2 linked regions of the Styela clava genome follow. The protein of the gene in region 1 purifies or fractionates together with the protein of each later gene. This does not show direct contact. Links are inferred from orthologs where the notes say so. Each region holds a gene or a part of one and is shown in the gene's direction. Other genes may lie near its edges.

Region 1 (16,682 bases):
CCGCATATTTGAGCATATCGCTCTCTTGTTTATTTATATATTCATATTCTTATCTGAAACTTTCAATGAAAATATTGGATCCGGCTTCAAAATTGAAAATCCCGGTTTAAACTTACATTTCTGGAAACACATACCCTCTTTTGCGTTAGTAGTCTTAACGCACAGTTTGACAACTTTTTTTTTATCTATTTTTGTGCTATTTTTATCTTTCAAATCAGTAAATAAAATAAACTCTCTCTCTACGGAGTAGAATTAGACGTAACCGCAGTCGGAAATCCGTACGTTGAGAGCTAATCAGCGAGAGATGTAGAGAAGGCGACCCCACCAGGAAAAGGTGAATAGGAGGTATCTCTGGACATGGGAACTGTAATAGAGAGAGAAGACGGTTAAAGGAGGTAGCCGCGCCATGCAGGTAGTAAGCAGTTCTAAAATGAGACATTCATTCTGCGTTGAGGCGGTCATTAATATGAGAAGAGCAAGATCCGGCGAGACTACGCTACCTACTTATACCCAGAGACAGCCCAAAGATTTATATGGAGAGGTAAAAAATGCTAGCCAGACAATTTTTTCTGATTATCGAACATATTCGTTTAACCAATCATCCCGATAAGAAATTTTGCGTCACTTGCACAATACACATTTATTTACATAAATATACACGGCGGTGTATGTTTTCGGAAAACTCCCAACTGCATTTTTCCTTGAAATCGTGAATAGTCTGTCTGATATTAACATCATGAAATTTCGCAATTATAAAGGCATATTCAAATTTGGTAAGAAATTGCCTCACTCGCACATTGCAAAATACACATTTATTTTTGATTCTATAATTTAGATCAGTGTTTCTCAAACCGTGTGCTGCGGCACACTATTGTGCCGTGAGAGATGAGCAAGGGTGCCGTGAAGCTTTTTGGAAATTTGAAAAACGAGCTGTTCGTATTGCACATAGGCATACATGCAGCTGGCAAGCTTGTGAGACTTGAGTATCCATATTTAATTGCACTGATAATTAGGGCTGGGCATTTCGAATCGAATATTCGAATCGAATCGAATAGTAAATTATTCGAATCGGTTCAGACGGGAATTCCGAATCGCCGCCATCTTGTTTTTTTTTTCTGTCCACCAATGGTCGAGGCGATTTAACGATTTTTTTTTTGTGGAGCCATCTCTCGGCGGGACATTTCGATCGCTGTTTTTTTTTTTTTTTTTATTTCTTTCACATCTGTAGGCGGCGTTTGAACATGTCCAGACTTGCACCTCTCCAAAGCCCTCTCTCTGCTCTCAGCTGTGAGCAGGACAAACGGCCGAGCTTCTCTCTCATATTATCTCTCGCACGTGCTACGCCGGCGTGATTTTGTCACGCACGCTTTTATGGCGCGTAATTTGTTCAGAATGCGGGAAGATCGGTTGCGCCGTCAGTTAGGATAGGCAGTTGTAGGACAGGCAGTTTTACACTTGCGTATGTTTTTGTGATTGCCGACATTGCAAGTGAGAAGGTATAGAAGACTAATTTGCGTGCTTTTTTTGCAGAATTATTGTGTATTTTTAAAGGGGTTTCTAGAATATTGTATACCGGTACTCGGCAACAGTACGGTATGATGAATAGGAAATCTCCCGTTTGGCGCCACTTTACTCCCCCAGCCAAAGACGATGACGAACGCCAGTACGTCGTGTGCAAGAGATGCGGAGACAAACTTAGTTACCATGCTACCACTAGTAATCTATTAGCCCATATTAAAAGAAGGCATGTAACTATTTGTTTGAACCCTGATAATCGAAGTGATTTGGACGAGTCCTCCAGTAAACAGTCCAAATTGGAACTTATTCGTCCCATCCTCCCTGCTCAGCAAGAAAAGATTACTTCTCTAGTTGTGGATTTTATTGTAAAGGATATGCGCCCGCTCAGCACAATAGAAGGAACACATTTCAAGCGCTTAATGGGACATGTTGCACCAAATTATTCACTGCCATCCAGGAGGACCATAACACGACGTGTAGAGGAAGAATATTGTGAAAAAAAGATGGAGCTTAAGAGAGTTCTTGAAAACATTAAGCATATGAGCTTGACTTTCGATGCTTGGACTAGTGTGAAAATGGAAGCATATTTGGGCATTACAGCCCATTATGTTGATGCCAAATTTAATCTGTGTTCATGTGTGTTAAGTGTGAAACCTTTGGATGATAGACATACTGCAAAAAATATTTGTGAGTGGGTAGAAGAAGTTCTCAATGACTTTGGTGTTAGTCCTCACGCTGTCTGTGCAGCAGTAAGCGATAATGGATCTAATATGAAGGCAGCCAAAGATATTTTTCATGAAAAATTTGGTTGGGCTAGTGTTGCTTGTGCAGCGCACACTCTCCAACTTTGTTTAAACAAAGGATTGGGAATAAACGGCATAGAAAAACCTCTTGCAGCAGCTCGACGACTAGTGCAACATTTTAAGAGAAGTGAATTGGCAACCAGTGCACTGGGGAAAAAGTGTGAGGAAATGAAGCTCACCTCCAAAAGACTCATAATGGATGTATCCACAAGGTGGAACAGTACTTACAACATGCTTGTAAGGTTGCAGGAATTGCAATGGCCAATTTTGGCTATACTTGGAAATAAAAATATCACAAATGCCACCAAAGCCTCCGCTCTTACAATCAAGCCTGGGGACTGGGAGATTTTCAAGCAGTTGATTCCAGTACTTGAACCTTTTGCAGAGGCTACTGATCTTTTAGGAGGCGAAAAATATGTCTCGATATCGATAAAGAATCCATACATCAAGGGATTGAAAAAACATCTGTCACGCGAGAAAGATGATGAACTTTTGGTAATCCGGCAGTTCAGACAAAAAGTAAAAGGCGAAATGGAGGAGCGATTTCCTATTGATCTTAATGATATCAGCTCGAAGGCAATGGCTCTGGATCCCAGATATAAACTGCGGGGACTTCGTACTGTGGAGTCACTTCAGGTAACTTGTTATTTCTTTCTGAATAAGATTTTTATTTTGCCAACAAAATTGCCCTACATGACAAACAACATAGCATGTTATTTTGGTTGGAATGAGGTCAAATTGAATTTTCATGTATCTTCATGTTTCAAATGCATTGACAGGATTAGATAAAATTCATGACATATCTGCATCGACCATATCTAAAGATATAGAGTTGACTTTTTCCCCACTGTATAATAAACATTAGTGAACAATGACTTGTTTGATGTCAATTGTGGTTCCTAAATCGCAGATTTCCATAAGAAAACTAATCTAAAATATTCCTGTATTCAAAACTTGTCATTTATTGAATGCATAAAATTTCAAATTTATCCAAATGTTGCTTGTTTTGGCCATACTTAATAAGGATTCCTAGTTGATCTGGCTAAAGTTTGTTTTCTTTTTTGACATGCTTTTTTTTTCCAGCTCAAAAGTGCAATCGAATTGGAACTCACAGTCTTATTTGAACAAACAGTTGTTGAAAAAGCTGAACCTTCATCTTCTTCAGTTCAGCAATCGACATCCATCATAAGCCTTGCCTTCGAATCATCAGAGTCCGATGACAGTGCAGATACTGAGGTCCCAGTAGTTGCCAATGAAGTGAACAAATTTTTTAGTTCCAAAGTACTTTCTGAATGTTCAAACCCCCTCACTTGGTGGAAAGAGCAACACGCTAATTATCCAAACTTGAGCAAGCTTGTTGACAAATATATGTGTGTAACAGCAACATCAACCCCAAGTGAGCGATTATTTTCTGCAGCTGGAAACACTGCCACTGAGCTCAGATTAAGCCTCACCGGATCACATGTGGAAGCTCTTGTATTTTTAAAATGCAATTCTGACATATGACTTTTTCCTTCCCATTGACTTATTGATGAAGCATGTTTCTTATCATATGTGACAACTTAGCAAATGACTGAGTGATAGATTTTGTGTTTTTGGGATTTCATGTATCTGAAGGACCCATTGCAATAAAAAAAAGTCACATGTAATTTTGTAGTTGCTAATTTGGTAAAATTTTTATAAGTATTCGAGATTCGATTCGATTCGAAAAAAATATTCGATTCGATTCTGAAATCATCAGGTATTCGAAAATGCCCAGCCCTACTGATAATATTATATATAGCATTTACCTTGTCTTACCTTGTCGTTGCAGTAAGGAAGATTGTTTCGGCATAAATGTATTGTGATGTCATAATGTTTTTGTAAACATGACGTCCACCTTCCACCGTGTCGACCTATCACGTTCAGTTAGGTAACAGGAAAGCAGGTTTGAACAAGTTTTGGCTATCTGCTTACAAATTATGTTTATTCATCGGTGCAAAGGCCATCAAAATATTCTAGCCATTCGCATCCCCATGACTCTGTTAACACGTATTTTATGTTCTGACTGAAATTAAAAGCAAAAACGGGAGAGACGGAACCTCGTTTATATTGTTTCTCAAAACAGGCCCACACATCGCATTAGCATTTGCTGAATAATTTGTTGAAGTCCAGCTTTATTTTTTCACGAGTGTGCCGCAAGATTTTTATTTATTTGCTTAGTGCGCCACGAGCAAAAAAAGTTTGAGAACCACTGATTTAGATAGACACGGCGTTTTATTTCACCAATGCGCGGAAAAACGATCAACGACATTTCGCGTTAAAATCGTGGTCCCAGATATCGACTGACTATTTTTAATTCTGCAAAAAAAATATTTTTGTGTATTTTTCTAATTGATTAGTCTATGTGTGTTCTTGTTCGAATTCTTCTGATTCCCAAACTTAAATTTTGGTACTCCCGGAGTATGTGAACCAAGATGTCGGACACCGGAACGTAGTATGTGTAGTGTACCAGGTTAGGGTTAGGTCATAATTTCGGGTACAAATACTACGGGAGTCACTTGGCTAGTCCCCGAACTCGTAATAGGGACCTCCTGAAGTATCAAGATGGCGCACAACCTGAACTTAGGTTGCGGACCAGGTTAGGGTTCAGGGGTGCGCATACTTTGGGAGTATCCGTAATAGAACTAAAATAAGGACCATGGACTTTTCCCCGAGCATCGACTTCCTTGTTTACGTCGTGACATTGGCCAATCAGCAAGACGCAAAAGTGACGTAACAATTTCCCCTTTTCGCTTCCGCTCAGGCACTTTTCCACTCAGACAGATTTTCAAGCGTGATCGTAAACATTACCTTATTTTCGCGTTTTTGAACTCTATTCGTTAGTTTTCTGTTGTGTTTCGGAAACTTAAATTTAAATCAGATAATTCAATAATCACTCTGTCTTCCTAGGAGTTTTAATTTAATTGCAGTAATAAAAAAATTAGTTTAGAAATAGCTGTGATAGACTAGGCTAAAATTATTTACCGGTCCTTTTAAAAAACATATTGTTGTATGCGATAAATCATAATGATGGTTTGAAACACATACCCCATTTCACAGGCGCCGACTCGCTAAAGGGCTATCGGGGTATGGATGTTTCCCCGAGCATAAAATTATGTGTTTATTCACGTAACAATTATAAATCAGCAATAAGTTAACAATGACATAAAAAATGGAATTTATGTCGCCGCGCAGACACTTTTTTCGCCCCGACAGATATTCAAGCGTGGTTGTAAACCGTGCCTTCTTTTTGGTAGTTCTAAGTGATATCCGTCAGTTTTTAGTTGTGTTTCCAAAAAAAAAAAAAAAACGTTTTAAATCAAATAATTTAATTGTCATTAAGTCTTCTGAAGACCTTTAGTTTAGTTACAATAATCCAAAACTGATAACGCAAACGATGCGAGAGACTAGCATAAAATTAGCTATTAGTACTAATACGGGGCACGTGGTTTATTATTTGAATGAAAATGATAGTTTTGAACATGTGAACCAGCGCCAACCAAATGGCGCCAACTCGCTAAAACACTTTCAAAATCAACGTTGAAAATTTTGATGTGATAACATAAGTATAAGGAGAATCTTTCAGGGTCAAGGGTCAGGAAAACTTATATGGATGCCATTGCCATTGTTGTGTATGACGCCACCATATACATTTGACGCCATAGTATGAATCTACCATTTACGTTCCGCATAGTTCTGTTTTCCTTGAAACCGCTCAGGATTAATTTGGAAAAAAAGACACAACGCAGGTTGACCATAGTAAAAAATATTTTCTATCACATTAATGCGGTAATGAAAAGAAGTTGCAGGTTCGTTTATGTACTAAGAATAGGAAATGCTGAACCATTGCCAGTTTGCCACCAAATTAGGAAATTAGCTACCGGTACCGGTACGTTCTGAGGTTACGGTACTACCGTAGTCATTCGTTTAGTTACTTAGAATTTTCAATGATTTTCTCTTGGTACCGGTACTTATGATATCAATGTTATAATTGGGTCCAGGATAAAATTAATAAAACCTTAAATCTGTAAATTCAATTCAAAAAGTTGTAAAATGACCTAACAAAACCTGAAAACAAATTTACTGGTATTCAGGTACCGGTATTATATTACCGGATAGCCTAATTAGCCTACTTATTATTATGAATACCGGTACAGTCTTCGATAATGAGCCATCGATACCTACGTCTGTACCGGTATGGTACCAGTACGGTACCTCTGTACTGCTGTACCTGGCCTTTATTTCGACTTTCGTCTACCGGGCTTAGTCCGGTCTAAAATTTTTTAAAACTGTATAGAAAAATAAGTTTAGATGAAACTTGAAACTGAATCAAATATTAGGGTCTGGTATAGTTTAGTACCACATGCACTTCTAGTTGGCATGGCTCAACAATTTGTGCATATGCCAATCCTAACCCCCACCTGACTACGTCACCGAAAAATTATGCCATTTGGACGTCACATTGGCGTAATAAGGCCCACCAAAGTATGCGGATGATCGTCCAAAACGCGCAGATGATCGCCCGAAATCGAGCAAGCTATTTCTCTCGTTTTCCAGTCATAATGATCACGATAGGAGAGAGATAGCCGGCGTTAGCGACTCCTAGCGAGTTCGTTATCGGCGGTGCAGATGCCATTTCGGGCGATCGTAATTATACCTTGGCAAGCCCTACGACATGTTTGTGACGTCGTATTGACGTAATTTTTAGATGGTATAGTCAGGTGGGGGTTAGGAATAACATATGCAAAATTCATTTTGATACGCCAACTGGAAGTACTTGTGGTACTAAACTATACTAGACCCAAATATTATATAGATATATAGATCTATAGCCACTTGTACACTCAAGTTTTTGATGTTGAAAAATCATTCCCCCTTTGCTGTATTTGTTTAATAACTGCACTTGGTTAGTCTACGTAGGTTTGATACTTAAATCAAACTTAAGTTATAAACCGGAAGCATCAATGCTATGAATGCTCTCTATCACTTATTGTTTGTCCAGTTGAAATTTAAGGTTGTCAGGTTGTTGATATATGTATGAATACCAAGATTCACACATCCATTCGACATTCGTTGTGATTCATCTACCTAATTTCCTTAGACTTACAATTATATTTCAACCACTTCAACTTTTTTCATAACAATCAGATTTATAGCCTAATCATTAATTCAGTCAAAAGATTAATTTAATCAAGCCAATAGAAAAACTAATAAATTTCAAATTTATAAAATGATGTTCGTGATAGTATATCATAATATAGACATTTTCAATTGGCAATAATTTCGGTGTTTGATTCAACTAAAGATTTTTTTTTCATCCTTGATTGAATATCTGTTGATTTGTGTGTAACTATTTCTGAATACTCATCAAATTTTAGCTGATTATGTCTAATCATGGCTTGCGGAAATATCTTGGAATAACACTAATTTTCAAGCATTTGAGCATCGTGTTGAAATATTAAAAACAACCCATTCATTTTTGGCTCTGCTAATTAACAAAATTTGGTGAAACTTTCAAAATCCTGAAATTTAGGAGAATATTTGACCAGCATGAGATAATCAGGAAACATATTGTCAGCTGTATTGAGGTATGGTATTTTTACCATATTTAATGTATGGTTTCAATTTTGGTCGCCTTTTATAGCTTTAATTCATCCCAAACTGATCATATTTTTTATATACTCTGCGCTTAGATGTTGCCAAAATATTTGACTGATCGCTCCACTATTCAAGATTGTGTGATGTCAGTATGTCACAATCACAATTATGATATTTGTCACTTGATTTTTGTATAGAAAATACAAATAAAAACAATGGATGTCGGTTTTTATATAATAATTATTAAAAAATCTTGTGATTTTCTACAATATAACTTTATTTTTGATAAATGAACACAAAAGACTATTCAAAAAATAAAACCATAGTGTTATTCCTCAAAAAAAAATAAATCTAAATCCTATCTAAATTTCAGGGAAACACAGCAAGAAGTGCACAAAACTGCTATGCATAGAAAAGCCACATGGTCATTCTTTGTGTAGCAAATTTTTGTTCCTTTGAGATGATCCTAAAAGGAAACTTTCACAGATCAGAATTTAAATTCAATTTAATTTCTTATGTTTTTTTGAAGATTTCCGTATTCGAGTCGCCACCGATCCTAATAACCAGTATAATTAATTCAAAGGTTCCTACATCTTTTCACGACCCACTCAAATTCTTTATGCGAACCCACCAGTGGGTCGCGACACATAGTTTGAGAACTGCTGCCGTAGACCATGTTCTTAGATGGTTCAATATATATAATATATATTATATGCATGGTTATTGTTTTTCTATATTACATAAAAAAATAAAATAAACATTTATTTGTTTTTAATCTTCAACGAACCAGTTTTTATCATGAACTATGAACCCTAGTAAGAGTAAGGCCAATTTCAGGCCACCACCAGGAAATTCTGAAATATGGTTTGCACGTGCATTATTCGAGTTTTCACCCAGTGTTTCTGATGAGTTGAATTTGGAAGTTGGGGATGTGGTTCAAGTTCACAATAAAATTGATGATTTCTGGATGAAAGGATTAACTCTTAATAATGGAAAGATTGGTATGTATCATTTTTTATTTATAGCTATTACTATTATGCAATTTACTTCCAATTTAGATTCATTTATGAACATTGACAAGTAGCCAAGTAATTATCTAGACTTGCGTCTTTTTGCAAAGATGGGCGTATAGAGTATCTAGCTCAGTGGTTGTCAAACTTTAATAATATGTGGCTCCATTCCAAAGATTCAACATTACAAAGGCCCCCTGCTCTTCAATAACAAAGTATAATTTTGTTTTTAATGATGGGTTTTTATCAGTTGGTGTATTCGCAATATTTAATAGTACGAAGCCAACAAAGGAGATTAAAATAATATATAGATTACAGTCAAATGACCAAACTATTTATGTTTAAATTAACTTTGAAATGTAGTCTTTGCGAATAGTTTCAGTGGAAGCCTTCGCTCATTGCCCCAGAGAACTTTTTGGCCCCGAGGTGGGTTGAGAGTCCAGTTTGAGAAACTCTGATCTAGCTCTTTTGAGGTATATATTTTGTGATCTGACAATATGATAACCTGAATGCCATATTAATTATTGTGACCTCATATACTCAGATTGTACCAATAGAATTTTCTTGCTTCACTATTATTGAGGCCCTAGTCTATTTTATGAGATGCTTTACAACTTCATTAAACAAGGGTCTGTATAGGCAGCATTGATTAAGTAAGGATGGAAAAGCTGAAATCTGTCTGTTACAGCTTTGTTCATCCAATTTATTACATTTTAGGCGAGCTGCGAATCCAACTTAGTTTTTCAACCATGGTTCAGCCTGTCCTGTCCAGGGTTTTTTACTAGTTTACATTTAATCCCGAGAGTCTTTATTATCATATGTATAGTTTTTAATTATAATCAAATACCTTTCAGGTTTTACTTAGCATCTAATATTGAACTTGAACATTTTGAAGACCATTTTATTTTGCTTTTATATACATTTATAGTTTGTACAATTCTTCGTACAAGTATTGCACAAGGGTTCCTCAAGCCACTGGAATGTTACATTGGGTTCCGCTTCACTAAAATGGTTAAAATTGTTCTAAACACTTGAATAAGAGTACAATGAATCAGTGAGATGAATGATTTCAGAAAACTTCGCTTAATATTCCTTTTCGCACTTTCCGTTTTTGGCTCAATTTTGCTATCTTGTTATCAATCTACTACCAAGAAAGTAATTACGGTATATCACAATCACAAATAACAAAACTTTCCTGACTTAATGTAGACAAATACCGAATTCGAGAACATACCGTACTTCCTTATAAGTGCACTTGAAAGAGTCAAGTGTATAATGCTTATATCATTTGCTCCATTGTTCACTCTTAAAAATGTTCCACTTATGTTTGGTTCGACTGCTTTTAATAACTTTCACCTGTTAATTATTGTTCATTTGGTATGTCGTACTGGTAGACATTGGTAGTGTGCTGGTATTTTGAGTCAAATCTACGATTATTGGTGTTATTTAAATATTTATTATAAATGTATAATATATTTATTCAATATAAATGGCATATCGAGGGTTTCAAGAAAAAGAACGAATGTATTTTAGTAATAAGTTAGGAGTTATTTTATTAATAGGTTAAAAAAAGTTTTTTAAAGTTTTGTTCTTTTGGTTATTAAGCCCTCGTTATTTTAATCGGTGAGATCCATAAAGACAAGGCATTCTCCATCATTCAAAAAATATTATCTGAATAGTTTTTCTTTAATATTTTCTATGCAAACCATCGCAGGTCAGTTTCCAGTTGATTTTGTTGTGGACATTGCCTTACCGAAACATTCAAAAGATGAAGTATTGTTATATGCACTTGATGCTTTCTACCCTGAGGTGAATGGTGATCTTTCCTTTAACAAAGGTAACAAAGCTTCTTTGACAGCTTTTAATGACAAGCATTGTTCAATTTTAGATATTATCTTTATATTATGCCTTTCAATGTTGTTCTTTCTAATTTTTGTTATGATGCTACCATAAGCTGGAATAGCAATACATAAGATTTAATTTCTAAGCCAATATTGGAATTTTTATCTGACTGTAAAAATAATGCTGTGGTTACTGTAGTAATTTACATTGTTTACAAGTGACAACAAGGTTAATTATAGTTCATTTTAAAACTAAGAAATGCAAGAGATGCCTCATTTTATTGTTTGGTGAGTTGTGTGTAATTTATGAATTATTTGGAAATTGGATTATCGTAATGATACTTTTGAAAAATTCATTTTAAAAATTCTGTTTATTAATGTGATATAAATTAAAAATTGACTCGTTAAATACATATTTTCATTCATAGAACTTCAATTATATTTGCCCTTAAAAGAACCAGAAAAAAGACATTTACGGTACATTTAAAAAAATTCTAATGCTGATTGAGTTCATTGGAATTATGTGAGTGTATGCAGAAACGCATAATCTTATATTAGCAATAAATAAAATAATAAAATTGAATAATATCTCACAGGTGACATAATTGTACTTGAAAATAAAGTCAATAATGAATGGGGTACAGGTCGTTCCGGAAACTCAAACAGGGGTATATTCCCCCTTAATTATACAGCGAAACTGCCATCACCAAAGATAGATTCTTTCAATAAAAGTTCAGTGCGAAGGAAAGCTCCGGTCGTCCCACCGGCAAACAAGATCAAATCTACCAAAGGAATGGCTGATAAATCTGAAGGTGATTATTTTATCCTTGAAAAATTGATTTGAGGCATGTGGCTTTTGTTATTGTCCCTAATTAGTTTACCATAAATATGAATACTATTTTGGGATTAGTTTAATATATATATTTGTTTGAAAAATTATAATTTTAAGCAATTGATGCTTCACAGTATGATCAGTAAGGTGTTTATATAATTTTTTGCGAACTATATCAAATTAAATGTTTATTACTGTATACTTCAACTTTCATGTATTGAACTCATCAAATATACATTATCATTAACTTCTACTGCACATGATCAAATTTAGAAGATATCGTGCATTCAAAAATATTACTGTAGAATTTATTTGGAATCGTTAATTATTAAATTTTGTCATGTAAATTATAATAGACAATTTTTTTACAGTTCTGGGAAAAGCTAAAGCCATTATGAACTTGACAGCACAGCTAGATGAAGAATTGAGCTTTCAAGTTGGAGATGAAATTCTTATCACTGGAGTATCAGATGATGGACTGTGGTTTGACGGCAAGACTGGGTCAGAGTCCGGCTCATTCCCTGCATCTTTTGTCAAACTTGAAGCACCTTTGAAAACTTCGTCTACTGAACAGCATCATTTTTCTGTCGACGTCTCTCATGATCATAATGAAAATAAAGGATGGAAAGAAGGGGATGTTGATGTCGTTGCTGATAGTGTAGTAAACGTAGGAAATTATTCTGCTGCTGAGTTTTCTAAAAAAGAAACCAAATTAACAAGAAATCATAAAGAATCGGAATATTTTCACACTCATGAAGATTCATCAAAAACTCAATCAGGTAACTAAAAAATATAAATATTTTCCTGGCAAATCCTTGATCCAGTTTCTGTATTGTCTTATACAAGGTTTTATATGTCTTTCTCTCTTTGAGCAAGGTTCTACACAAGCTGCCACTGGGTTAGGTTGTGGACATGGGAATTGGAATCGAATGTTTTTACCTGCAATGCTAACACATTTAAAACAAGCGTTTTGTTTGAAACTGTTAGAGAAGTGAATGTCTGTGAATATAATCAGGCACAAGGCTGTGATTTGTCATATAATAGTGTAACAGCTTTCTATTGTGGCATAAATTTTAAACTTCTATACTCCGATGCACACATCATCAATGATTGACGGGTTGTGTGTGCTTTTATGTTTTTGATATCTACTCTTAGAAGATATAATATTTGCATTGCATGTGTATCTATCTATGGAAATACATATTAAATACTAATTTTATATCCATATTTCATAGATATTGACTGTATAAATATTATTTTAACAGTTCACAAGGACAATATAATTAGTCAATATTGTTCTGTGTTGTATACCTGCATGCAACATTTCACTTCATAGCCTATATCAGCTGTGCTGTAACAATTTCACCCTTTTGCTAGTTGATACAATGCCAGCCTAATTATATCAAGTGAACAATGGTGTATGTGATACTCTATTGTAACAATATTTGGAATTTCAATTGGGAGTTACAATAATAACAATATACTGTATACGACGTGTCTGTCGTCATTCTGAAATTCTGTGTGGAGATCAGCTATGACCATAACCGATAAATTTACTATTCCGAATACATTTTGAAATGACCAAAATTTTTCAAATATGAATTATTGAATATATTCCTAATTGGTTTATGTCAAACAAATAACACATACAAGTCAAAATTTGGAAAAATACAGGAAAATTGATATAAACAATTATTACCGGTATTAAGTGATTGACTGATTCCCTATATTTTACAGTTATAGAAATTAAGTGAAGACATTTTTAGTCATACTGTGACATTTCAATTGCTTTAAAAAGTAAAAACTGTCCGAATAACTCATCCTGAAATATTTCTAAAATAAAGAATTTAAAATATCAAATAATAAATTTCGAATCAATTCATTTTGTCATCCATGTTCGCAGCCATTCTGTACGTAGTATGGATGTTAAATGATATTCATGCTTTATGAATAGCACTCCCGTTTTGTCAATTATTCTTCCATATTTTTTTAATGACTATTAATTTAAATTTCAGATAATATTGCCGAAGACGCCACTGAAAAATCAACTGTAAAGAATATTTTATACACTGTAGAAGCATTGCATAATTTCAGTGGATCATCTGAGCAAGAATTATCATTTCACAAAGGAACTATTATTCCTATTTATGAAGAAGTTGATGAACATTGGTTCATGGGTAAAGTAGGAGACGCAGAAGGGTATGTAGCAAGAGCCTATGTATCACAGACCATTGAAGCAAAAGATTCTTATTCTGATATGCAGTCAAATGATAAGAAAAATATTTCATCTGCCAACTCACCTGTTTGTGATAATAATAAAACAATTGTTAATAACAATGAGAATTTTAATAATATGAAGCCTCAAACCCAACATGCCAGACAGACTGTGACGAATATCCTAAGAAAACATGTTGATAATTCTGAGTCACATGACCCCACTGAAAATATCGAAGAGGGTCATCAAAAATCTTTGGATTGTGGAAAGAGAAAAGCTCTGGTTATGTATGACTATGATAGCAGAAATCAACATGACCTGTCAGTAACGAAAGGTGACATAATTTGGATTATTCGAGAAGTGAACTCAGAGTGGTGTAAAGTTGAAAATGAATCAAAGAAAAATGGAATTATTCCTATTAGTTATGTGGAAATCATAGCCGAAGAAAACTCAAAATCAAAATTGTTACTGAAAAATAATACTGAAAAACGTAATGTAAATACTGTAAAAGACGTTGCTGATTCAACAAAAAAATATAGTTCCCAATCATCTGAAATGCAACAATCTTGCCATGAAAGCACTGTTTTGTCATCTGTACCTGAACATTGTAATGTAGCGGACTCGAGTTCAACACGATCATTAGCATTTTTAAGTCCAAAACCTTTTGTGTTTCAAAAACCTAGTATTTCACGAAATTATGACAGACGAAATGTTCGTCCTAGAACATTACAGAAATCAACATCTGTAGATTTACAAAAACAGCCGCTTTCGCCATCTAATAGTCATAGAATTCGCAGAAGTAATTCAAATCCTATGTCACGGAATGATACGAGCCCTAAAGATGCAATGGTTCATTTAAAAGCCTGGCAGCGAGCGGGGAAAGTCACCGATGTGACTACTCAAAATATTCGACAAGAAAGTGCAATTCAGGAAGTGTGTAGTGAAAATAAAGCTGCTGACAGCACTAGAACGTCCAGTCAAGCGGTTAATAGAAGCAGTAGTATGCGAGAACGAAATTCAATGAAGCGAAGTGTGGATCGAGTTCCATCTGATCCTAATTTTAGGAGAATTAGGTCCAATACAAACATTTTTACTGATAAAATTACTGAAAATGGACGCCCTAGAAGCACTTCACCTAGAAAAAGGTCAACAAATGTTGTAAATTCATCCGGAAATACAACTGAAACTTCTGAAGATTTTTCGTCAACTGTGAGCACGACATCATCATCTTCTATGGATGATCCAAGGTTAGAATATAAGTTTATGTTATTGCCTTGTATAATTCTTGCTTGAACTGTGTGCAATTACTTACTATGTTTTAGAATAATCAGACTGATTTATTTTAGGCATAATCTTAATAGACATCATTCATATGAAAAATGAAATTATTGATTTTTTTATTTCTAATTAGGTCAAGGTTATCGGATGCCTCTTCTGCATCCAATAAATCTATCAAAACAAACAGAACAATTCAAAGGTCAGCTCCACCAATTCCTCCCCACTCTAATGATAGAACACCAACGCCAGAACAAACCAAATCAATATGGAGTCCTCCCGTACCTCAAAGGTATGACAAGCATTCTTATTGTTGAACAGTATTTCGTTCGCCATTGCTATATATACATGATGGGTCAAAAAATTGTTACCATTTTTTTACATTCAGAATGTAAAAATTGTTAACCTTTTTTGGGCTGTATATATAATCTTTCAACATGAAATCATTCTCTGATAAATTCTACTCAATTATTTGGATTTGAATGAATGAGTATTCTGGTGGTATACTAAGCATTATATATTATCAAATTCAAGATCATTCAAGATTGTTAGTTCAGGAGTATTCTGGCCGGCTGTACTGAAATAGAACTTCTCCAATAACCCTACTGTAAAACTTACTTGAACATAAAGTAAAACTTTATTTTCAAACAAATATTCAGCTTCACCTAAAAGTTTGTTTTTACTGTACATATTGGATATTAAATATTTACTCTTAACAAGCCATGGAAGCCTAAATTAATTAAACATTTAAATATAACGAAAAGTTCATTAATTAGCTCATCAGAATTTTCAACCTGATCCATATATTGTAATGCAATCTAGACTTACAATTGTGTAAACCCGGTGGTTAGTGGTTACTGCATCGCCGTAATGCATCTGCGTCATGAAATATCAACTTTTTAAAAATGATTTCCTATCTAGAAAAACTTTGAATAAGTGATCAAATTCGCAGAAACTAATGTTGGAAAATAAGTGCAGCTAACCATGTTTGACTTTCAGCTATTATGATCGTTTATGCGCACTAAAACAAAGCTCAAATATTGCATTCAGTAAATGTGTATCAATTTTAAAACTTTTTCTTATTTTATATGAAATTGCAATTCTGTAAATTTGTAAATTGTCTTGAGTTTGAAAAGTTTGGGCCCCCTTGTATTGACTGATCACTGACTGTGTTGTCATCCATATGATCTATTTCTCTCTCTATTTTTTCACTAATTTTCTCTTCGATAATTTTTAGGAAGCAATCACTTCAACATTTTAGCAAGAATAAACAAGAAGACTACTGGTCAGCATCACTAGTTCAAAATGAAGTCAATCCTGGTAGTCTGACCCCTTCACGACCTGCTCCACAACTTCCACTTCCTGTTAGACCACCAATGCCTATCCAGAAAAAAGTTGCACCTCAAAGACCTGCTAATCCACCAAAAGCTGGTTCAATTTCTGTTCATAGCAATAGAACAGTAAATGGTGGAACACAAGAAAGAGTTCAATTGATTACTACAAAAGAAATAAAAGGGAAAATGGAGAAGGTAGTTTTGCTTTAACAGCAATTTAATTATTTTCTGATTC
Region 2 (15,839 bases), on another chromosome or scaffold:
GCCCGAGAAGACAGATAGGGGAATAATTTCGCGGGTCGCCCTACCTACATATTCACGTAACGGAAACAGGCAACTGGTAGACATCACGTACGCAAATTATTAGTTAACCCGATTTCAGCCTCAATTATCTTATCTTTCTTTGAGTTAATTACGTTAATAATTTTACTTGCCAAAATCACGATTATTCTCTTGTTTCTGAACAATGCTTTATTGTTCAATATATCACATCAGGTTCAACGTGTCGGTTGTTGAGTAATTATTGCTATTAGCCCAATCCCTGAACTGATAGACGATCAAAGCCAATGTTTTCAGCAAGTCAAAAACATTACATAAAATCAAGTACATAACGATTTTAAATATTTCATAAATGTATACTTCGTAATAAAAAAGCAATTTTTTTTTATCTAAGAGTTCCCAGATAGCGTCAGCCAAGAAGAAAAGTTGAGAATCGCGGAGTTCTGTGGTGCCAATGATTGTCAGAATGGAACTGGAAGAGGTGGATATGATTTTATTTGAATGAAATTATAGGCTATTTATTAACTTAGCCAAACACGGTTCAATGTTTAAAACACAACATACCAGTTTGACCATAGTATAAGGCTGGACAAGTCGTCCATGTTCGGTACATATTTTAGCTATTACTTGTTTGTGTCACGTTATAAAATCCAATTTGTTTTATTAACTGACACACGCTGACCCTCTTCAGTGATGACAGAAAATATTATATCATGAAATTTCTCTTAATTACACATAAAATAAAGATGTTTTACTCGTTTCCTCTTACTCGTCTTCTTTCCGCATTGACTCAAAATTTCATTACAAGATTATTATAGTAAATAATGAACTTTTTTAATAAAGATAGAAAAAAAAACATAATTTATATGAAAATGATATTAAGTATCGTATAATTCTACATCAAATTGTTCCATATTTTAGAATAGTTCTAATCGCAACACGTTCTACAGATGAACTAAGTAATATATACCTCTCATACAACATTCTCTCAAACAATAGTCTCTATTTTAGACGAATCAACCAGCGAAGCAATTCCAAATGAGACCATTTATATATTGATGGGAATCTACACGGCAGTTGGTTTTTTAGCCGCAGCCAATGTAGGATTATTCGTGGACAAGATTATTATCAGGTTAAACTTCTGAAATTTTCAACCTACGTAATCAATCACGTGACTGTTACACTTTACGACTAGTTGTTACGAGACTTGTTGTTTAAGAATTAAGCATGAAAAATATTTTTCTTTTCTTCTTCTAAAGTGAATTTTTCAAAAAAATCAAAATGTTAGAGTAGAAGTTTCAATTTATCGGCAAGAGAAAACGGGAATGTTTTACTAGCGAGTACTTCTGTATCCTTGAATTGAATTAGATACGTGATACGGGAACAAGGGCGCCAATTCAATGAGCGCCTATCATGGTTGGGTTGTTCATTGCCATGATCCACGATCGAACATAATTTCTCCATTGTTCAATAATAATCGACGTCATATTCCATTTTTCGACGAACTATATTGGTAACGCTCGAGTAAAAAGTTTTTTGCACAACCTCGAATGTATCGTCATCTAATTGTGAGTCTATCCTCTCCTATTAACTTGTAGTCTCATAAACCTGTCATAATAAAATGTACCGCCTGTTTTTAAATGAATACAAAAATGGCTATTTTTTTATAGAAACAATGAAAGCCGAGGAGCGAAGGAACTCCTAATCGGAACATTCTCTCATATGAAAAATCAATATCAAATAATGTTGATAATCATCACAATATACTCGGGATTTGAACAAGCTTTTATAACGGGTGATTACACCAAGGTGTCAATTTTGAATAATTTTTTACAGAATTTGAAAATTTCAAATCAAATCCTGAAGTTTGCACTGCGTAGATAACATTCAATCAAATGATAACATTGCTCTTCAACTGATTCATTATTCCAGCACACCAGAGTAATCAATAAATCACTTTTTGTTCAGTGAATGCGCAATTATTTTACAGTCATTTATAACATGTCCGATTGCTGTCAACTGGATTGGCCTGACGATGATTTGTTTTGGAGCTGTTGATTCTATTTGTTCGTTTATGTTCGGACGAATTGAAAAATACACGGGTCGAGTGCCTCTGTTTTCTATGTCAACTCTCATATTTCTTGCGATATTTATCACACTACTAGTAAGTAATTATTGATATATGATAATCATTCATAATTACAGAACATTACAGCATGTACAGTCTTATTCACTCTTTAACAGGTATGGGTTCCTTACCCAACGAGTCCAGCTCCCTTCTTTATTATTCCAGCGTTTTGGGGAATTGCTGATGCAGTATGGCAAACGCAGCTGAACGGTGAGTTCAAATATTGTCATTTGGTGTTTGAAATGCAAGTTAAATTTTGATCGAGTTTCAACAAATAGTAGGAATTTGTTACATAATGGCAGAGCTCATTATTTTCGAAAAATACAATAATATGAGATATGGATACTTCTTTGATTAGGAATGGATTTTCTTTAAACAGCTTCTAGTTCTAGTTCAAAAAATTTTTTCTATTGTGAGGTGCTTTCACAATTTCAGTGTCTTGTTTGGATTCGAGGCCTGTAAAAATCTGGCAGACGTTAAATTGTATCAGCGCCCTACTCCTTTCTCTAGTTCAAGAATTAGAGACATAAAAATTTAATTCAACGTCACGAATCGCTACTTTATTATAGCAAAAGTTACTAATAACCCAATGTTTTGCAGCTTTGTACGGCGTACTTTTCTTTGACCGACAAGAAGAAAGTTTTTCAAACTATAAGTTATGGGAATCCATAGGATTTGTTGTTGCGTTCGCTTACCAAAGTTACGTTTGTGTCTACGTCAAATTATACGTACTTCTCAGTTTTCTAATTGTTGGAATGAGCTTGTATCTTGCTGTAGAGGTTAGTATCACATTGAATTCTTTTTACGTTCTCTGCATATTCTTTCACCCCACATAGATCAATCCAAAGTGAACACTGACCTACATTCGCTTTTCTAGCCAGTATTTGCTAATTGTTTCGCAACTTTGTTCCAAACAGATCCAGATTTGATTAGTATGACTTTATGTTTTACATATATATACTTTGAATACAAATTGGAAACTTCTTCTTAACTAGTAGCTTTATAAAGCAATTTGATTGTATGCTAGTGCACTGTAGAAAAATGATTGAGACAACTAGATTGTATTTATGTTTAATTAAGGTACTGATAAGTGTAGAGTAATTTTACTATAACATCAATGTGTTCCCTATACGTTTCAACCACAATTGATGTATTATGGTGCAAGGATTATTTTAATATTCTCATTTCAGTTATTAGAAAGAAAACGGAAGATGAATCAAAAATCTGCTAATACATCAAAAGATCATTCCGAACGAAAACAGTCATTTGACAACATACGTCACAATCCAGAAGACAATGTAACAAGTTTTTGAACAAAGTCCAAATTTTCTAAATCAAACTTTAGTTCATAACATTTTGTGATCTTTGTATAACTTATACTCTAAATACGCACGCTCTTGTTGAAACTATGTTTACAACAATGTAATAAGCTGAATATCCCAATGAATCTTATTATATTCATAATGCGTCACCAGATATTATTGGGTTGCTTGCGCTGTAGCAAAAGTCCAGTCTAGTAATATATATCATCAATTGCATAACATGTGCGCAAAAATCAGTAAATCTTCGACTGCGCAATAATTTACCAATTTATCACGTCTTCGAATTTGGAAAAACTAAAAATTGTTTTGATCTAATCAGAAGAAAAAGTTTAACCAACAGAATTTGTAACATTTTTGTCTGCTCTGGCTCTCTTTATCATTTCCCGTACTATCATGGAAAACAGCTGCATATTTGTTGCTCGATATGTACAATACTTTTTCGGTATCATACAAGGCAATTTTTCGTAATTTTCTTCGACTGCCGGATAGCACAATGTTGACTACACATTCTCAGGTGCTCATCAACCGTTTGAAAAACAGTGTCAAAACGTGGTGAAACGGTGATAAAATCATTTGATTTGAATCACTGGTCATCACAAATGCTATTCAACTGCAGTTACACAGCAAGAAATGTAGCAATCATTATATATACATATTACTTCAGTATCATACTATTTACAAGTCACTATTCGTCGAAGCCATGATTTGTCCCATGGGACTATTAATTTGGTCATTATGTAGCGGTGAACAAAAGCAAGCTGCTATATATATATATATAATAGAAGCCCTGTGTCTGTCGGACTGATTTTTTATATATGTCCAAAGAAAGAGATAAAAAGAGGAGGCCCAGTTAGTAACATTAAGGCGGTGTTCGGTTAGTAGACGATTGGCAACTATGCCCTATGGAAAATTGTCACAAAACAAATTCATCTTGTCAGTGATAACCAATTGTACAAGTGAAACGCGCAAGAGAAAGATAGAAAGCGAGCGGGACTTGGCGAGCGCAGTAGGCTATCTACCTATTCCATCCGATTACTATATCGAGTAAACGGAATCGCAATGTACCAGGGTTGCCAACTGTTCAGCGATAAAATAATCTAGAATCTCAACAACAAAAAATCTAAAATAATTTAAATTTAAAAAATTATAATCCAAATATACGAAAGTTACATTTTCAATAAAAAAAAAAAACGAAAATTTTGCCGTAAAGAATAATAATTACTTATATCAACACGTCTTTTGGAACATAAGTAGTGTAACTGAAGTATTTATCATGAAAAGAATTGAAAGCTTGTTGCGTCCTTCCGAGTTCTCACGGAAAATGATGTGTACCAGACGTCAGATGTTAAAATATTATTTGCAATTAATTTAGAAGAATAAAAATAACATGATCTCTTTCAACGAAATAGTAAGTATATTTGTGAGCTTTCGTTAGATCATGGACTAACTTCTTCAAAAAATACAAGATATAACTGTAAATATAAAAGATCATATAAATTTAGTCTATTATTGAGTTTCCTATAACTGGATATATATGGATGCTATCGTATCATCTTAGAATAGCCGGTCTAACTGATTTTTGTATTATTCATAATCCATCAATATGGTGGGAGAATTCCCAAACTTAAATAACAATAAAAATAGAATATGATTCGGTATTCTGGATTCGATTAAAGTATTCTAGAATAGTAAATTATTCTATATTTCCCATCCCTACTTATAGGGGTAAAATTAGTGAACAACAGTATTTCGTGATTTCAGATTTTCGCATAACAACAGCATTCAGTTCACGCCACTTTCAGAGTATTCAATACTGGACATTTTTTCGGCTAACCTCTCTCCTTGTTTTGAACACTATTAATCTTGATTGGAAAACTTTTCTGTATTATATCCAGGAATCCTATCTCTTTAAATGTACTGTTAGGTACTAGTGAAACGAACTTCACTTTTTTGTCACTAAAGAACAATGCAAAATAACATTTGTCAAAATAATCTAAATGAATACTAAAATAATCCAATAAGACATCTAAATAAGTATTTCTTCCATCTAAATTATACGAAAATAATCTAAATCTAGATTAAAATAACCCAAGTTGGCAACACTGCAATGTACACCACACTAGTCTTTACTTTGCATTGTTGCGTCATAATGTGTACCTATGAGAGTTGTTTTTTGCCTGCTTCGAGGTTTTCCTTCATCTGAGGTCATAAATAACAAGAAGACAATTCTCAATATGGACAAGGAGGCCAAAACGAAAAATTTTACCCACAATTTCCGCAAAAACCATATCCTGAACGAAGCGGACTGTCCCAGGTTGCCAGTTTCAAGGTGAATTGAAGTTAGGGTTCCCAACTTAGTGCTAAACCATTCTGGGACACCTTAATGTCTAGAATTTGCAAATTGATGCAACACGAAAGACATTAAAAGCAACAGCGGTTCAAAAAAGCGAAAACGAGGTAATGTTTACGGCCACGCCTAAAGATCTGTCTGAGTGAAAAAAGTGTCTGAGCGGATGCGAAAAGGGAGCATTGTTACGTCACTTTTTGGATCTTGCTGATTGGCCAATGAGACGAAGTAAACGAGGAAGTCGATGCTCGTAGAAAGGTCCAATAAGGGACATTCATAACCTTTGACCTGTTGCGATTTGATGCAAAAAGAGGTGACGACTGCTTTTTCTTGTTGAAGGCCGACGCGACTAGGTCTGTCTTGCATTGTTTCTTATGAATACTGGAATGTCACGGTGTTTCGTAGCGGGAACTAAAAGATACTATTGGGAAAAAACTAAATGTATTCTGAGACAATATGTCATTTGAGTAAAAAATCGTGTTGAAATGGGAGGTATGGTTGCTTATGAGTACAGGTGCCTTGGGTGCCGGTGGTAGCAGCTCAAAAAGTACCGGTATGTCAAAGTAAATGAAAGTTATCCTATTTACTTCTGCAAATGGTATGAGATAAGATTGGTTATAGCTTTGATCATTAATAATGGCATACTTATGTTGAAAAAGTATATCACATTTTTTCAGATGTTCACGATTTGAATACCGATAATTACAGCAGAACCCCTCCATGCTTGAGCTCATACAACATTCATCAATCATCATAGTTGCTGTGTAATTGTACATGGATCATTTGGTTGAAATACAAAACCACCTTTCTTAAGAAGACTTGTATCTGTATGCTGGGAACTTCTCATTCTCATTTATAAAAAAATTACGGACAGAAGTTTCATATGATTGAAATAGCAAGCACATCACTAAAGAACACCATAAGCAGAAAATCTGTATCTGATTTCTTGGAACCTCTCAGTTCCAATTATGAAAAGTCACAATCGGCAGTTTATGGTCAAATATAGAATTTTGCTATGCTATCCTTGATCTAAATATACCCAAGCACAGATAGAAGACATCGCTTCACTCACATATTAGCATATAGATTACGCCGATGCCCAGTGTTTTTTTTTTCTCAGGTGCAAATGACAAAATCACTGTACTACCTTAATTTCTTATAACAATTCAGCATTTTGGGAATAGTAATCATTCTTGTTACGGGTGCCATCCCCAGGTAAGAATACACAATGGAATTTATTCAACTTGTGTGTGAGATATAACTTGTTAAAAATATACATTTTGGCTGTCTTCAAGGTTCCAGGCAAGAGTGGATAATTGAAAGGTTGCTAGCTAATAGTTCAGTATTTTCTAGAGATTTTACTGAACTGGTTACGGTTCTCTCATTTTTAACATCTGTAAGAGCTTCTTTGACATCACTCAAACTCCTTGCTCAAACAATTCCAGTAGAAACACGGCAGGTAAATGCTAGTTCGGAAGTCTGTAATTGTGAACTTTGTATACCATACAGTAGACTGATTAAACCCCTTTATTGTCTCAGTATGTACTCCACAGAAGCCAGTTTTTTTAAGATATTCTTGAATAGTTGGCTTGGTATTTCTATCAATGTACAGCAAATTTGTTGATTAGGTTTTAAGAGCTCAAGCATGAAGCATTTTTTTTCATCTGTTAGTGTTGTTGACAAATTGTAAACGTCTGAAACGAAAAGTGATATACTTACAATTTACATACTTACTCTGAAATTGTTTGTGAGCACAGTTTTTATCTAGGTATAACGGTAGTCTGGTAGTGTTATTACTTGTAAACAACAATGAAAACTCATCGGCATATTTCTCAGTTGCATATTTTCAGTATTGGCGGGAAAATAAATTACTCATCACATATGGAGGGAGGCCTACGGTACATGTGCACGTTATTTTTACTAAAATACCGAACGCATCTGAAAACAGTATTTCATGAATTGATTTTGACAATATGTTCTCCGTTTAGTTATAGGGTTTCTTAAGTTTAAAAATGGTTTAATGTGAATTCATGTATGCGCATTTAGTGTAGGGTTGGATCATCCGGATAGCGGTTATTCGGATAACAGAGAGGTATTTTACTATCTGATATCCGGATAATATTATGACGGTTAACCGGATAATAGAGCAATATAAATAATGTATATGCGCATTAGTAATTTTTATATTTTTTGTTGAGTGGCGTCTTGACTTCTCCCAGACTCCAGAGCATATAATAACATATTTTATTCACACTACTCTGCCCATATTTTAGCCACCAATTAGGTTGAAAAGCATTGAATGTGTGGGTGTGAGTTTGTGGCTTTTTGCTCGGGTGTGGCTTTTAGTTTATTGCGTGTATTGAAGGAACGCATTTCATGATGGAACAAGCCAGGACTTAATTCCAAATACTTCGTAATCTATGTGATCTGTGTGGCATTTCTAAATTTTCGGTATACGAATGCATGTAATGTGCATGTTTTCAACTTCCTAAATTTTCCTATTGTGCAAAATAACCAATTTGTGGCTGATTCGAGCATTTTAAAATGTCTTTCCATAATAACTCTGTTCAACGTATCTCTCGATTGCGTCGACATACGTTAAAATTAAAGCACTTCTACTATAAAATGTCACCGCATTCTGCATACCGGTATATGAAAATACGTAGTAAGATGCACAATTAAATTCAGTTTTTATTCGTATTTTTGCGATCTTGCGAATTTGAGCTATTCACAATAGAACTGTGTGGTGGTTTTTGGTCAATTCGCCGTGAAAATCTTGCGAAATCGGATCTTTAAAATTAGCAGCATTTTAAACTATCCGGTTGACTGGATAGTTAAAATACGGAATACCCGGATATATCCGTTATCCAGATAATAAAAATTCTAGGTATCCGAACTAACCCCTGCTCTTTATCGACAACTAGTGTTTATTCAGAAATACCTAGCTACTTGCTGGTGTTTTGATAATTTGATTGCCCAAGGGCAAAGCGTATATATAATATAAGCGAGGCAACGCTCTGACAATGGACGCCATCTTGTGCCTATTGTTCTCGTGAATTTAACACGGCGCCTTATGAGAAGTTCCAACACAATTATTGAAACATACCTATTATTTTCACTAATATTTTAGGTAAAATATTTTTGAAGGTCGTGTTTTGAAGTAGAATCTTAGCCGTACATGCTTATATTGTTTCATGTTGGCCAAATTACATTTATAGTACATTAAATTGTCTTTGAAGACAAGTATACCGGTTCCGAGTTGCTTCCGAAGTAAATCGGCTATTCTAATCGTCATAATTAACCATTTGACAATGGCGTTCCTTATGACGTCACAGATGAAAAGTTGTATTTATTCGTCGAAATTACCGGCCGAACCAGCTTTGCTTCAATGGTCGTTTCTATTTTCTGGTTAACATTTTTCGTCTGTCAAGCTCCATAATGCCCTATTGCTCAGCTGCAAGCTGCGCTAGAAGAACAAATGACATTGTAGGATTGTTGCGGAGGCATTTTACAGCCTCAAATTGGCGTATCAGTATAAAATCTTTGAAAAAATGACCAAAAATGGTTCTACGCTGTGTTTGTGGTCAAATTTAACGCATTAGATAGTTTTTTATTCCTAATTGCGTTATATATTTAGATAGCATATATCTTAAAGTTCAAAATCCACCCTTCGGTTTCATTCTAGACCTTATAACAGCGGACTTATTCGATTCGGTACAAAAACACGACGAAAATTTCCCATAAGACTGCATTGTTTCGCGTTTCCCAAATAGGGCACAAGATGGCGTCCATGAACTTGTTTAACATTAGGCAAGTTGGTTGCCGGCCGTTGCCCAAGGGCAGCAAAGTGAATATAAAAGTTATAGTCACTTTGGATGGCAGTGGTTGGTGTGTTACGGTAGCGGTGCAAATGTTTTAGATTCTCTGAGATTTGTCTAAGACTTCAAGACTAATCAAGTTCCGTATTGTCACTAAAATTAAATTTGACAAAAAATCTCATCAATAGCTAAAAGAAAGTCTGAAAGTGGACGGACGTAGGCGGGTACGTGCGATTTCTGATCCAGTGATCGGTTAAACTAGTGCCAGTAGCCTAGTGTTGAAGTGTGGTGGCCGGGTGGTGTTTATAAATTCACAAATCTGTTGGCCTGCTGCTCATCTGACCAGGGCACGTCTGTGCCTGGAAATAGCAGCTGTCGCCTGGTCGTGCACCACCGATATGAGCTTGTGAGTTTTATTGCTGTATTCTGGTATTGTACCGGTACCGGTACTGTTATTTATTTATTTTATAACAGTACCGGGTACCGTATTATTTTTGTTTATTTTCAGTCTTCTCGCAAACTTACTGGCCTCAGAAGTTGTTTAAAAATAATTATATTTTGTACAACTAGACTACAATTGTTAGGACATTCAGACATTACCGTACCGGTACCACACCTACCAATCACCTTTTCTTGCACAACTGTCTGTATAAAAGACCATATTATACATATTTGCTTTAATTATTGATTTATTTTTTTAATTTTAATTATTTGAAAGAGGGGGGGAGGTAAAAGAAAAACTTTTAAATACTGTGTTAAAAAATCATTTTTTGTATGTGTTTCAGAAACTGGTTTAAAGGTCGCAAAAGTCTTCCAGCGGAAAAGGACGTTGCCAGAGAATATATAAAAATACAACAGTATGTATTTTCAAAATTGAAAATTTGTTTTTCTGCATTTGTACTATGTGCTATGTAATTCTTAATTTATAGTCCTTATAATAATTGAATGTATCACATTCACATATGAATTTTTATTCTTGTTATATAGACTGTCCATATCTGGAGCAAGTTCAGATAAAACTATGAGATTTGATATTCATATTTTTTTCTATTTTAGCAATCCGATTTTTCGTATCTGTGTTAACTCATGTGTTTAATGCAATGTGGGATAAAATGACATATCCAGAAATTGGAATCAAAAAATCCAGTTTCAGAAGTTTTTAATAGTTGCTCAGTAGTCAAAAAGGTTATTTCATTTGATTTTCCCAGTGCAAGCTCAAACTAAAATTAAGTATTAATATGAAATATGTATTATCTGATCAATTTACAAACATACCCAATGATATCATTATGAATTATAATTACTGGTATATAAAAAATAATGCCTATTACATTCTAACAATTTGTCCATGATATATTAGATTAAAACACATTATTTCCTTTATTCATACAGTGCGGAAGAAGCAAGTAAAAGACTCTTTAAAGATGGTAAAAAATTAGCAGACGCTACAGTTGTAGCTGGAAGAGCTGCTACAAAAGTTGGATCAGACTTTAACACATTAACAGGAGAGAATGAATGTGGTAATATTCTGAAGAAAACAATGAGTGATTGTGGAAGGATGACTCAAGATAAAGTTGGTGAATTATTTATTCTGCCAAAATGCCAAAAAAGTTAAATAACAAAACTGCCCTATGTACTACATGGGAAGCTTAAACTATGGACAATTACAAAATAGTATACAGGGAGTCCTCGACTTACGACGTTGTTCTGTTCTCAAGACACGGTGTAACCCGAATTTTAGTGTTAGTCGGAACATTATACTGTACAGTACATAAATTATTCTATACATATCGAACTGTATTGTAAAGTATGGTACTGTAATAAAATGTACAAATAATGCAAAAAAGTACTTTAAAAACAGAAAACAATTCCATATCACATGAATAAAAGCAAATACTGTACAGTGCAGTATTATCTTTTATATTTTTTATGGAGTGCATTCGTAACGTCAAAACAGCGTTATTGAGTGCGCGTTCGTAACCTCGAAACAGCGTAAGTCGCGACCGTCGTAACCCGAGGACTTCCTGTACATGAATTTTTGATTTTATCCCAAACAATTTCACATGCCATTTTTCCAGATAACTGACTTGTAATATGTTAATCCATGTTTTCACTCATTAATTTCATAAAATTAGGCACCAGAAATCCCCTTAGTCTTGATGTAAGTGCTGCATGTGTTCAAAACTGTATAATACAACTGAAGGTTTTATCACTTGCGGAAAAGATGCAACTGAAAGTTATTCAATGATGCAAACATGATTGAATTTATAAATTATGAAAATTTCAACTTAAGCTAATGCATGAATACCGGTATATTTCATTGTGTTTAACTAATCATTTATTAATATTATGCATTTTTTTAATTTCATGCTCCGATCTATCTGACTTCATACGTAGACTCCATTTTGTATTCAGAATCAGCTAATCCAGAAGACATTGGTTGATCCCATGAAGAAATATAATTCAATTTTTCCACATCTCAACTCGCAGATAAAATCACACGAAAAGTGTCAGCAAGAATACAAAAGATTACAGGCAAAAGTTGATAAATTGAATGAAAAGGAAGAAACTGGATCAAATTTGGTGAAAAAGCAAAATGTTAGTAGAGTTATGTTTAAGCCAAATTTCTCAACTGATCAACAAATTAATAATTGAATTATCATTTCAAAATATTCCCTCGTATTCAAAACACTTTACACGAGTGAAGGAAGCAATTAGTAATCAATTATGGATTTAACCAACCAACAAGAAAAGTGACAATTTACTTTCTTGAATAGAATACTAGAAATTCTTAATATTTCTGTCAGCGAATGTCCTAATGCTAACAGATACAGCAACCTATTATCAATACAAAATAATGAAAAACATTTTAGCAGCTGTATTTCTGTTATCTTGTAAACTGTTCATCTCATATATAAAAAATTAAACATTCCGACTTTTCAATATATTGGTAGGCACTGAGTGCATATGGTGTACATAAAACTTGTATTTTAAAGTCAAACTTTTATAACAACAAATCTCAAATAAAAATGTGGCTTGTTAGGTCATTTTCTTTGATGTTGTGCAATACCTTACCATTACTAGAAATATATTTTGTACAAATTTTCAGTTGAAAAAAGACCTCACACCTGTAAAGGATGAATTTGAAGCAAAGCACTCCATGCTTCTTGATGAGTTTCCTGCTTTTTATAACAGCAGATTACAGTATTTACAACCTCTGTTTGAATCTCTTGTATTGACACAGGTATAACGAGGTTTCCAATGTTTTGCAATTTACCTTACCCCTCTATATTTGTTAATGAGTATTTATTTATTTGGTTAGCAGGATCCAATGAAACTTTGAGTAACTCCGGCTCCATATAGCATGGTAAGCTTGGCCCCAGCTCAAACAAAATATTAAGACTTCAGCTATGCCCGTAACAGATGAAAAACGTACTCAAATACATTTTACTTCAGATTATGGAAAAAATTCACTTCAATATGAACAAAAATATTTATGTTTACTTTTTTCTCAGTCCTGGCATCACAATGAATTGAATAAATTATTTAACACTGCACTCAACGATCTTACAAATGGAGAACCAGAACGAGATCTGGAAGAAGACGTCAGGGAAACATTGGAGCAAATCAGAGCTTTGAGTATAACTCAAGACTGAACACTAAACAGCATCCATTAGGTTCGAACTTTATGCTGCCAGCCCTATTTTATGAAATGGTAGTATGTGTGATGTATTTATCAATTTTTATTTGTCCTCGCATACATAATGAGACATCCGTATTTGTATACTTTATCTTATATTCAATCGTTTTATTAATACTAGATATTATATAGATGTGTTATGCATCTGGCTCATGCTACAGTTTACATTTTTACAACCTGATATTGATGTGAGTGTGACACAAACCATCATCTCCTTGTCAGGCTTAATTTAAAAATGTATATTGGAAGTTTTGAAAAAAATTGGATTGTTTTGCGCCCCTACTTCGATACCTGATTGTGTTTACCTTAGCAGACTTTTTATACTGCTTCAGAGTGCTACTATTTTATTTTTGTAGGCTTGAATAATCTTATCATTGGTGTCCTTGTATTCATATAATCGTGCTTATTAATCTTTTACCTTCAGTTTTTTTTATTGTATAAGAGATGTATATTTTAATTTCTAAAATTCTTGGATTGAATTATTTTTGTGAAAACTCAATTACCAGATAATTTTACCTTTTTACAGCTAAAGTTGATATAGATTAAATATTGGTGCTGCTAGCAGTTATTCTAAAGAAAAAATTATATTTTTAATCTGTTTTTTAAAATTGTATGTTTTTTGACCTTTAATCACTCCTGTAGGCAGTTTTGAAAATGAAATTATACATTATATTAACAACTGATGCTTACAAAAGTCGCTTTTTGAATATTCGCTTTGAATATCATTCATCATAAAAATAATCCCTACCCAACAAGAATTTAGCAAAGCTATTTGTTGGTCTGCTAAATTTAAACCTTAAGATTTGATGCATTGAATATTTGGCAAGTTGTCTCCATTCAACTGATTGTAGTAAATTATAAATATGTTTTGACTGCTAATTTCAAGGCGTTATGTTTCATGATTAATTTTCATTCTTGCAATAAATCAGAGTTAAATAAGTCTCTGAAATATCAGTCTTTTCATCGTTTGTCAAGTAAGATATTTGCTACTACAAAATGGATCCAACCAGTGAAGCTGTTTCATTGTCAGTTTATATATTCTTCAGTAATCCATTCAAAAGGTTCTTTATTTTTTTAATGTTGAATATTTTGATAATCTGATCTTTTAATCTCTCAATACTTGTTTTTTGATGCTTCCCTTCATCCAATTTTTGTTTTGAACCAAAAGTTGTATAAAATCCCTCCTGCTTTAGGACATCTGTATATTGGTAAAGATGTACTTGCGAGTACGAAAACCATGCCATCGTTTATTTTATTTTGAAAAATGAGTAAAAAATTTTGATGTACTTCATTATACTTTATAAACAAGTGTGAACCTTTTGAATGCTCCCTCAAATGAGCTATTATGATATAGATATTTTATTGTGATTATTATAATTCTTTTGTATATGTAATTGATAATAAAAACACTGGTTGATAACGTTTTTTTGTATATAAAGAAAGCGGGTTAAGGACATTTCCTAGTCGAAAATTCCATCAGAGCGCCATTTACACTGAACCAGTAACAACACTATAGGTGTCGCTGCTTGAAAACCTAACCAGGTCCCTCGCGAATCCTGTCGCGCGACTAACTTTACTATTTTATTGGACACGTAGTGGACATAACGATCGTTTCAATATTATGTTGTTGTTGTTCTTAGACACGTTTTGAAGATATCGCTTTTCTCTTTGATAACTGGACTAATTGCTTTGAAATTTTCAGTGAGTAAAGATTATATTTTTTGCTAGAGGGCTATTACTTTTATTTTTTGCTATGACGTCATCAAAATTATATGGTGCTAGGTGTCCATATATTTGAGTATAGTACTCTTGTTTATTTTCTGTACCAATCATTGTGCATTTGTTTTTGTGACAACAAACAAATATTGATAGATAGAAGGTGGATTCCATCCGTCTCAAAGTGGCTCGACTTCTTTTTCTTCGTCACAAGTTTAGCATCCAATAACATGTCTGACAGCTTTCCACGAAAATATATTCAACCACTTCCATTGATCTTATTGCACTTAGACTAATAAACTGTATTTCGCACATGGAGATGAAAATTTCTCGGCTGGAGTTTTTTTGGAGTAAGGTATCCGACAATCCGATATCGCGGCGTGTGATTCTGGACGCCTTGCAAAATCAACGCGTCTAACTGCACCACGGTACAAAAATATCAATACAGGAAAGTTGCCAATAAAGTGTAACTCGATTCAACAAATTACATCAATTTCAAATTTGATTTGAGCGATGAATACTGCAAAGGTCATGCAGTTGCAATGCCCGCAGAAAAAATGAATCTAATGACTGCAAGATTGCATTATTCGCTGAGTTCATAGTGCATTTACTTGTTACTATTCAAATGCCGTTTAACGTAGGTCTTTGTACAAATTTAGCTATAGATTCTGTTGCGGAGTATTTTTTTAACGTTTTGTCCATAGCATTAGCCATAGCGACTGGTATTATACGGATTGGGTATTAGAGTGAACAGAACATGGACTACGGAAGCAAATTTATATATTTGGAACAT

What was found.
Region 2: the proteins of dynamin-binding protein-like (region 1) and bridging integrator 3-like purify together in Homo sapiens (co-immunoprecipitation; 5 studies listed by BioGRID and IntAct, counting the BioPlex papers as one, with this or other methods). This does not show direct contact. The link is inferred for Styela clava from reciprocal best matches to the Homo sapiens genes DNMBP and BIN3.

Annotation. Positions count from the first base shown.
Region 1 is NC_135258.1:12,937,419-12,954,100, forward strand, and holds the start of dynamin-binding protein-like, read left to right. Parts: upstream 1-8,734; 5' UTR 8,735-8,745; coding exon 8,746-8,941; intron 8,942-10,664; coding exon 10,665-10,787; intron 10,788-11,387; coding exon 11,388-11,603; intron 11,604-11,994; coding exon 11,995-12,402; intron 12,403-13,638; coding exon 13,639-15,085; intron 15,086-15,249; coding exon 15,250-15,405; intron 15,406-16,350; coding exon 16,351-16,642; intron 16,643-16,682. Other genes in the region: E3 SUMO-protein ligase ZBED1-like, read left to right, coding at 1,596-2,957, 3,405-3,827. UniProt on the Homo sapiens protein: Plays a critical role as a guanine nucleotide exchange factor (GEF) for CDC42 in several intracellular processes associated with the actin and microtubule cytoskeleton.
Region 2 is NC_135256.1:9,882,615-9,898,453, forward strand, and holds bridging integrator 3-like, read left to right. Parts: upstream 1-9,640; 5' UTR 9,641-10,028; coding exon 10,029-10,036; intron 10,037-10,415; coding exon 10,416-10,487; intron 10,488-11,022; coding exon 11,023-11,203; intron 11,204-12,045; coding exon 12,046-12,228; intron 12,229-12,739; coding exon 12,740-12,874; intron 12,875-13,145; coding exon 13,146-13,286; 3' UTR 13,287-14,750; downstream 14,751-15,839. Other genes in the region: protein unc-93 homolog A-like, read left to right, coding at 410-496, 1,027-1,147, 1,686-1,824, 2,006-2,179, 2,260-2,353, 2,744-2,922, 3,334-3,456. UniProt on the Homo sapiens protein: Involved in cytokinesis and septation where it has a role in the localization of F-actin.